Coturnix japonica: one gene and its partner. The protein of the gene in region 2 binds, or shares a complex with, the protein of the main gene of each other region. Links are inferred from orthologs where the notes say so. Each region holds a gene or a part of one and is shown on either strand. Other genes may lie near its edges. The genes, in order: RARRES2 and CMKLR1.

Region 1 (3,781 bases), on a different chromosome or scaffold from region 2:
TCTTGTTCCCCTTTCAGCCCCCATCACCCATCTGACGGGGTTATGGCCTTGTACTGTGATGCCCCATCCCTGCAGGCATTCAAGGCCAGGCTGGATGTGGCTCTGGGCAGCCTGGGCTGTGGTTGTGACCCTGCACATAACGGGGTTGGGATGGATGAGCACTGTGGGCCTGTGCAATGCAGGCCGTGCTGTGATTCTGCTGGAGAGAAGCACTGCTGGCTCAGAGACAAACTCAGCCCTTTCAGGCCAGAAAAACTCCAAGGAAAGCAGCCAAATGCAGAGAAAAACTGTAAAGCGTGGGTAGCTGGGCTCAGGTGAACCTAATGAGGTTCAACATGGCAAAGTGCAAGGTTTTGCACTTGGGCTGGAAGAACCCCAGGCACCTGTACAGGCTGGGAGGAGTGGTCCTTGAGAGCAGCTCGGCTGAGAAGGACCTGGGGGTCCTGATAGATGAGAAACTTAACATGAGCCAGCAGTGCGCTCTGGCGGCCCGGAAAGCAAATGGGATCCTGGGCTCCATCAGGAGAGGGGTGGTCAGCAGGGATAGGGAGGTGATCGTCCCTCTCTACTCTGCTCTTGTGAGGCCCCATCTGTTGTACCGTGTCCAGGTGTGGAGCCCTCAGTACAAGAAAGATATGGAGATTTTGGAAAGGGTCCAGAGGAGGGACAGGAAGATGATCAGGGGGCTGGAGCACCTCCCCTATGAGGACAGGCTGAGGGAGTTGGGTTTGTTCAGCCTGGAGAAGAGAAGGTTGCGGGGTGACCTCATTGCAGCCTTTCAGTACCTGAAGGGAACTTACTCCCAGGAGGGGAGTAAACTCTTGGAAAGGGCTGATAATAGCAGGACACAGGGAAATGGTTTTAAGTTAAAAGAGGGAAGATTTAGGTTGGATGTTAGCGGGAAGTTCTTCACTAGGAGAGTGGTTAGGCCCTGGAACAGGCTGCACAGGGAGGTTGTGGATGCCCCGTCCTTGGAGGTGTTCAAGGCCAGGTTGGACGGGGCCCTGGGCAACCTGATCTAGTAAAGGTGTATGTTTGGTGGCCCTGCCAGGCAGGGGGGTCAGAACTACATGATCCTTGAGGTCCCTTCCAACCCGGGTCATTCTGTGATTCTGTGTGCTTGGAATGGCAGAACCCAGAAAGCTCCCCAAAGTGCCAGCTCTGTGCACTGCTGCTTGTGGGGTTCCTGAGGGCGGGGGATGTTGTTTGCAGTCCCATCTCCACCGTGGGGCTCAGGCCCCCATCAGCCCCAGAGCCATCGCTGCGCTGCTGCCTTAGGACAGATCTCTGCTCTGTCTTTGCCCCCCTTCACCTCTCCCCACCGGGCTTTGATGTGCTGGGGACGGAGCTGACGATGGGGTCAAGGCTGCCGCCATCCATCCCCGCGCGCCTCTGGCCACAGCCGCAGCCCCTCCTCTGCGGGGGCTGAGCGGGGCCGTCCGGTGGGCGGAAAGGGGCAGTTCCCAGGAAATCGGTTAATGAGAGACCAAAATCAACAAGCGGTGGTGGGCAGGAGGCTGGCCGGGCCGCACGGCGGGGATGAAGCTGCTGCTGGGCATCGCCGTGGCCGTGCTGGCGTTGGCAGACGCCGGGCAGAGCCCGCTGCAACGGCGCGTGGTGAAGGATGTGCTGGACTACTTCCACAGCCGCAGCAACGTCCAGCTGCTCTTTAGGGAGCAGTCAGTAGAAGGGGCCGTCGAGAGAGTGAGTGCCGGGGGGGGTATGGGGACCCCCGTCCTGCTCCAGGGGGGCTGTGGAATTGTGTGAGGTGAGGGGCGAGCTGTCACCGAATGAGGGGGACGGTGGGTGGCGTGGTGTCACTGCTGGGGATGTAGAGCTCCACGGCGGTGCCTGCTGGCACGGCACGGGGCTCAGCTACTCATTAACCATACTGTGAGCAGGACTGAACAGTGGCCGGTGTCCTGCCGTCCCCTGGCAGGACACAGCATCCCATTCCTGTCCCCTCCCTGGCAGGGAGCTGGGCACTGTAGGATGGGTTTATACTGAGGGTTGGGAGCCTCAGTGCAGTGCCTGGAGTTACTTTTTGGGGCTGGGGTCACTTTTTGGGGGCTGGGGTCCCTCCATTCCTACTCCTGGTCCTGCTGACACTCTGGGGCCCCCAGCCCACCTCCCCCCACACCTCTCATGGGACATTTCCCCTGCACCAGGTGGACTCATCGGGGACGTACGTCCAGCTGCGCCTTAACCTTGCACAGACGGCATGCAAGAAGCAGACACAGAGGAGACAGAACTGCAGGATCATAGAGAGCAAGGTGAGGTGGGGGCTGCACCCCCTGAGCCAGCACCCCACCCCCAGACACAGGGACAGGGTGGTCTCACCCCTTCTCCCTCCCTCCTGCCCTGGTTGCCATGCACCAGTCCTCTCCAGCAGAGCTGCTGGTGCTGGGGGTGATCAGACATGGCCATGCCCAGCTCCAGGGGCGTGGGGGACATCCCCAGGGCTGGTGGTGGGGGCCGGGTGCTGGGACTGCTTGTGATGGCCACGTTGTCTCCACAGAGGAAGCCAGCCTGCTTGGCCTGCTACAAGTTTGACAACAGCGATGTCCCCAGGGTGCTGGACAAGTACTATAACTGTGGCCCCAGCCACCACCTGGTTGTGAAGGTGAGCTGTTCTAGGGGGGGGCTCAGCCCCAAGAAGTGCTCTGGGAGCTGGCACATCCCACAGCTATACCAGCAGCCATGCTCTGCCCTGCAGGAGATCAAACACCGTGATGAGGCTGAGTGCCGGGCTGTGGAGGAGGCCGGCAAGGCGAGTGATGCCCTCTATCTGCCAGGCATGTTTGCTTTCTCCAAGGGGCTGCCAGCCTAGGTGCCCATGCACGGTAAGGCCCACCTGGGATGTTCCTCTGGGGTGAGCATGGGGAGCTGCAGGCAGCAGCCTCCTCCTGCAACCAGCCCTGAGCACCCCCCCGTCCTACACCTCTCCGCAGTACAGCAGCCACCACATCCCCATCCCAGGAGGAAGATGCTGACCTGGGGCCCCCAGCCCCCAGCTTGCTGACCCCCCAGCACTGTGCAGTGAAGGGAAGGTCATCCCACACTGCCCCCCAGCTCCCGGCAGTGTCTGCATGCACTATTAAACCCCAGCTCTGCCTCTCGTTCTCCGCTTCATTCCCACCCAGGATCACTGTGTGTGGGGCAATGGGGGTGGGCTCCACCGCCCTGCTGTGCCACCCCCAGCCCGAGCCACACTCCGCTCTGCAGGCACACTGGTGGTCTTGGGAGGAGGGATGTGGATGCGCAGGGGCCCGGCACAAAGCAGCAGAGACCTCAGGGACAGCACATTTACTACACAGCTGCTCCCCGGCAGCAGGACCCCGTGACCTCCCTCAGTCCCCACGCGCAGCCCCCCAGGTCCGCACCCCTCTTTGCAGTGCAGTCAGTTCCAAAACCTGCCAGTGCTGGTCCAAGGGCGGGAGTCCATTCCCCGCATCCCAGGTCCCCGTGGAGTCCTCGAGCTGGGAACACACAGGGGTCCATTCCACACACATGGGGATGGAGCAGCACGGAGCAGAGCGGCCGCCTCGGTGCCTTTGGGCTGCTCAGAAAACATAGGATCCAGGGTCGGTGCGCCCGCTCAGCGCCCGCTCAGCCTGCGCAATGGTGTCGTCGGCGCGCCGGCCCAACTCGCGGCACTCCCGCAGCGCCTCGCTGAACTGCCGGTACGCCTCCTCCACGATGGAGCTGCGGCGCAGCGGCGGTGGCTCCCAGAACCCGGCCTGCACCCAGGGCTGGGCTGTGCGCGGTGGAGCGGGGCCGG
Region 2 (4,257 bases):
CCCAGCTGAGAGGTAAATGCCTCCGGGTTTTGGTGTCCATCGGGTTGTGCCTGGGTCAGAGCAGAGCAATATTTGGGGCTCAGGGAAGGGTTGGCTGCAGCCAGCAGGAATTCTTTGCTTTCCCCATGGGGATTCAGCCAGCTGAGGGTTTTCTCCTCCCTGCTATTACAAAGTGGGTTTGGGGCTTGGGTTGATGATGGTGGTGACCTACAGGGCTGTGTATTAGGACCCTGTGGGTCACCACTACTCTCATTTGCTTGGAGTTTCTTTTGCTTGCCTCCAAAGTTCCCCCATGCCCCAATACAATCATGTCCCTCTGTCCGGCAGCAGCAGGCACATATCAATTTCCTTCTCTTAGTTTCCTTCCTCATTACCCCCTCTAAACTCTGCTGAGAGCGGCTCTGCAGGTGCCACATAAACCTTCCCATGATGTCCCCAACCACACGCTGGCTTTGTCCCCAAGCAGCCATGGTGATACCCTCAGATGGGGTGCAGATCCTCCTGGTTTGCAGTGAGGATGGCTCCCACCATGGGGTGGTTGTGTTTCCAGCCATGCCATGCATCTGGCTTGCTGGCACTGTGCCGTGCAGCTGGCTCCCTACAACGTGCAGGGAATTGGGATACATCCCCAGGAGAGATGCTCATCACACAGCGCTCACTGCAGCTCTCAACCCTTGTCCCATACCCAATAACAGGTGGTGTGGGGCTGGCGATTTTCTCTGTGCTTAACCTGGGGATCAGCATCATGTTTTGAGGTCTGATACTATTTCTGGGCAGAGCGGAGTGTGCAGGCTGTGACCCCCACACTGCTGTGTCCCTGCACTGCTTCTATGGACCGTCCCGTCCCAACCAGACGTGTACAGCGCTGCCCAGAAAAACACTGACTCATGCTGTTATTCTGTCCCACCCTGGGCACAGCCGGCTTTTTAAGGCTGCCTTTTCCAGTTATTCCTTTTTTATCTGCCTGTTCATAACTCAGCCTCTCTCGGGGTCCTGGCATTCAAGCATCGTGGATGCAGGTAGGACTCTCTGCCTCGGTTTCCCCTCTAGGAACAGGCTTTGCCTCCTCCCTCTGCTGATGGGGCTGCAGATTGTGGGGCTGTTCGTAGGGATTTGCAGGTGCCTGGATTTGGGAGGTGGGGGGTGCAGAGGGGTGGCAGCAGCGTGGGGCTCCCCACAAGCTGTTCTTCCCCATGGCATCACCATGCATCCAAGAGGGGGCAACTTTAAGAGGTCAAAAATGCCCTTTTGAAATGCCAGGAAAGTTTTTCTACATACATGTAACCTAAAAATAGGGCTCGGGTGTGCATTTCCCAGCAGGGTCCTCTGGGCATTTAGCAGCAGTGAGATCTGAGCTCTTGTTATGGACATTTTGATGGTGCCCAACTTGCACTCAGGACTGGGAACATCACACTGGGATGTCACTGCTGTGGTAGCTGCAAGCTGAAATAAGTGAGAACTGGAGCTGGTCATCATCCATTCCCATCCCATTCCATTCCCATCCCCTTCCCCTCCGTTCCCACACCCCCATACTGGGCTGGGAGGAAACTTGGGACTTGGGGCTTTGGTGTAGGGCAGCCACAAGGGGACGTAGAATCACTGCTTCACCTCACAGCTTGGGTGAACACGGGAGTCTGGCTCCTGTGGGGTATGAGGATGTCCTGTGCTCAGTGGGGACATGGACACACAAGGAAGGAGATGCTGTTTCCTAAGCATCCCTGTGGCTCAGTGCAGGGATAAGGCAGACCAACGTATTATTTCTTCCTCTGGCTGCACTCCCCTGTTTCCCCACTCACATCCGTCCTCCCAGCTGCGGAAGCCTTTTTTTTTGCCTAGAAAAGCTGCATTTGAAGGTTTTTTGCTGTTCTCTCCGCTTCCTGTTGCCGTCCCAAGAACAACAGCCCTGACCTCATCCTGGCGATGTGCGGGGCCGCCCTGGGCTCAGCCCTATGGGGGTCCCCAGCCGAGCACAGCTGCATGAATCACAGCTTTTTGGATTATTTGGGGCAGTTCCTGCGCTCATTTTTATGGAGGTAGGAGGACAGAGATGAATAGAGAACAGCGCGTAACGTGGTTTTGGCTCATGCTAAGCATTTTGCAGCCCAGAAGGAACACTGAAACATGATGATGTGTGGATTTGGTTTGTTGGTTGTTGTTGTTGCTGCCGTTTTACTTTTTCAGATATGCTTTATGGGATTTTTGCTACAGGGAGGAGAAATGGAGTTGGGGTTTCTCCAAGCCCAGGTTGGTAGGAATGGGGCCAGGTGCCGAGCTTTGCTTCTGGGGAGGTTAAGCCATGCACTAAGGGTGTGCAGGAGCAGGGCCAGCTCATGGCTGTAAATAGTGGCTTGTCCCATGGGCACCTCTCCTGGGGCTCCAGGAGGGGACTGGGATGCACTGTGTATGGGGGGATGCACTAAGCATCCTTTTGGCTTTGAAATCCATGGCATGGATGGAACCCCCACCAGCTGCTTGCTCAGAGATTAGCCCACCTTCCTCAAACCTCTGTGTCCTGATGGGAGTGTCACTGAGGGCAGGAAAGGGCAGAGAGTGGTGGGGCTCCTTGGGAAGGAACTTGAGGAAAAGCCCATGGAGAAACAATAGCTTATTGTGTAAACACATGGGGGCTTGGGAGCGGTGCTGGCAGGAGGATGATGTTCAGCAGTGCACAGCCTGGTTGGGTTTGAGGTGTAGAGCCCCAGAGCTGTTAGCAGGGAGCAGTGGAACGTGCTTAATGGGGGCTCAGAGTGGCTGGCAGAGCCCAGCTTTGGATAATAGCACTTAGTGCTCACAGTTAGCATTTTGCTCAGTGCTTTGGAGAAAGAAAGAGAAAAACTGTAATACTTTGCAGTTTGGAAAATCTCAGAGCTGTTAATAAGCCTAATACTGATTGTTTCCTTGGAATTAAGTAGGCAATAGACCTGTTTTGGGGAGTAAGGCTGCAACCACATTCTGGTGAGCACAACCAAGATGAGCTCAGCAGCTCCCAGAGCTGGTGCTGCTCCTGATCAGGGCATAAACATTCCAGATGAACCCCAGTAGTGGAGCTGGACCTAAGGGATCCCTCAGCATCCCCATGGCCATTCTAGCCATGCCTCTGATCTAACACTGTGTTTGCTTAGCAGGGCATTGCCATCTGGAGAGTCCGGGACTGACCAGGCGCTGGTTTATGCACTAACCATGGCGTTTTCCAATTCATCTGACTACTCTGATGATTCTGATATCTATGACTACTTGGATTACACCTACGAAGAGCCAGGCAGCGTGTGGACAGGCCCTTCCTATGACCCAAAGGACATTGCAAGGATCCTCTCTGTTGTCATCTACAGCGTGTCCTGCGTGCTGGGCATCCTGGGGAATGGCCTTGTCATAGCCATCATCACTCTGAAGATGAAGAAGTCAGTCAATGCCATTTGGTTCCTCAACCTGGCCGTCGCTGACTTCCTCTTCAACATCTTCCTTCCCATAAACATTGCGTACACGGCCATGCGCTACAACTGGATCTTTGGGACCGTCATGTGCAAGCTGAACTCCTTCCTCCTCATCCTCAACATGTACACCAGTGTCTTTCTGCTCACCACCATCAGCTTTGATCGCTACGTGTCGGTGGTTTTCCCCGTCTGGTCTCAAAACCATCGGTCCACCAACCTGGCATGTATGGTTTGCCTGATCATCTGGATGGTTGGTATCATCATGAGCTGCCCTTCTCTTGTCTTCCGAGATACAGCACAAGCCCGCAACTCTATCATTTGTTTCAGCAACTTCTCCCTGTCCAGAAATAGGTCTTACCAAGCACTGGCATTAGTGAGACACCGAACGGTGAACATCACCAGGCTCTTTGCTGGATTCCTCTTGCCCATCTCTATCATCACCTTCTGCTACATCTCCATTGCCTTCAGCCTGCGGCGAAACCGCCTTGCCAAGTCCAAGAAGCCCTTCAAGATCATTGTCACCATCATTGTCACCTTCTTTCTGTGCTGGAGCCCCTACCACCTGCTGAACATCCTGGAAACAGAGCCCGACCTGATCCCACGCTCTGTGTTTGAGATTGGCATCCCCATCACCACGGCACTTGCTGCCTCCAACAGCTGCATGAACCCTGTCCTCTATGTCTTCATGGGCCAGGACTTCAAGAAGTTCAAGGTGACCATCCTTTCCAGGCTGGTGAATGCACTCAGTGAGGAGACTGGCCACTCCAGCATCGTGCACAGAAGCTTCTCCAAGATGTCTTCAATGACAGAAAAGGAGACAACTGTC

Evidence for each region.
Region 1: the proteins of CMKLR1 (region 2) and RARRES2 are in contact, whole or in part, in a cryo-EM structure (PDB 8ZJG), measured with the Homo sapiens proteins. The link is inferred for Coturnix japonica from reciprocal best matches to the Homo sapiens genes CMKLR1 and RARRES2. Residues at the interface, in NP_001135815.1 of Homo sapiens: Asp20, Tyr21, Leu22, Asp23, Ser24, Ile25, Val26, Val27, Leu28, Phe88, Leu92, His95, Tyr103, His104, Asn116, Leu119, Ile120, Met123, Arg178, Leu183, His184, Gly185, Lys186, Ser188, Cys189, Phe190, Asn191, Trp203, Thr205, His217; in NP_002880.1 of Homo sapiens: Leu34, Phe37, His38, Phe60, Thr75, Ser76, Cys77, Arg96, Leu111, Gly112, Arg113, Leu114, Val115, His116, Cys117, Pro118, Ile119, Thr133, Leu136, Arg137, Gln139, Arg140, His146, Ser147, Phe148, Tyr149, Phe150, Pro151, Gly152, Gln153.

The regions. Positions count from the first base shown.
Region 1 is NC_029517.1:381,753-385,533, forward strand, and holds RARRES2 (retinoic acid receptor responder protein 2), read left to right. Parts: upstream 1-1,464; 5' UTR 1,465-1,539; coding exon 1,540-1,704; intron 1,705-2,168; coding exon 2,169-2,273; intron 2,274-2,518; coding exon 2,519-2,623; intron 2,624-2,716; coding exon 2,717-2,830; 3' UTR 2,831-2,843; intron 2,844-2,951; 3' UTR 2,952-3,121; downstream 3,122-3,781. UniProt on the Homo sapiens protein: Adipocyte-secreted protein (adipokine) that regulates adipogenesis, metabolism and inflammation through activation of the chemokine-like receptor 1 (CMKLR1). Also acts as a ligand for CMKLR2.
Region 2 is NC_029530.1:5,633,906-5,638,162, reverse strand, and holds the start of CMKLR1 (chemokine-like receptor 1), read left to right. Parts: upstream 1-1,165; 5' UTR 1,166-1,920; coding exon 1,921-2,033; intron 2,034-3,122; exon of another isoform or gene 3,123-3,125; coding exon 3,126-4,257. UniProt on the Homo sapiens protein: Receptor for the chemoattractant adipokine chemerin/RARRES2 and for the omega-3 fatty acid derived molecule resolvin E1.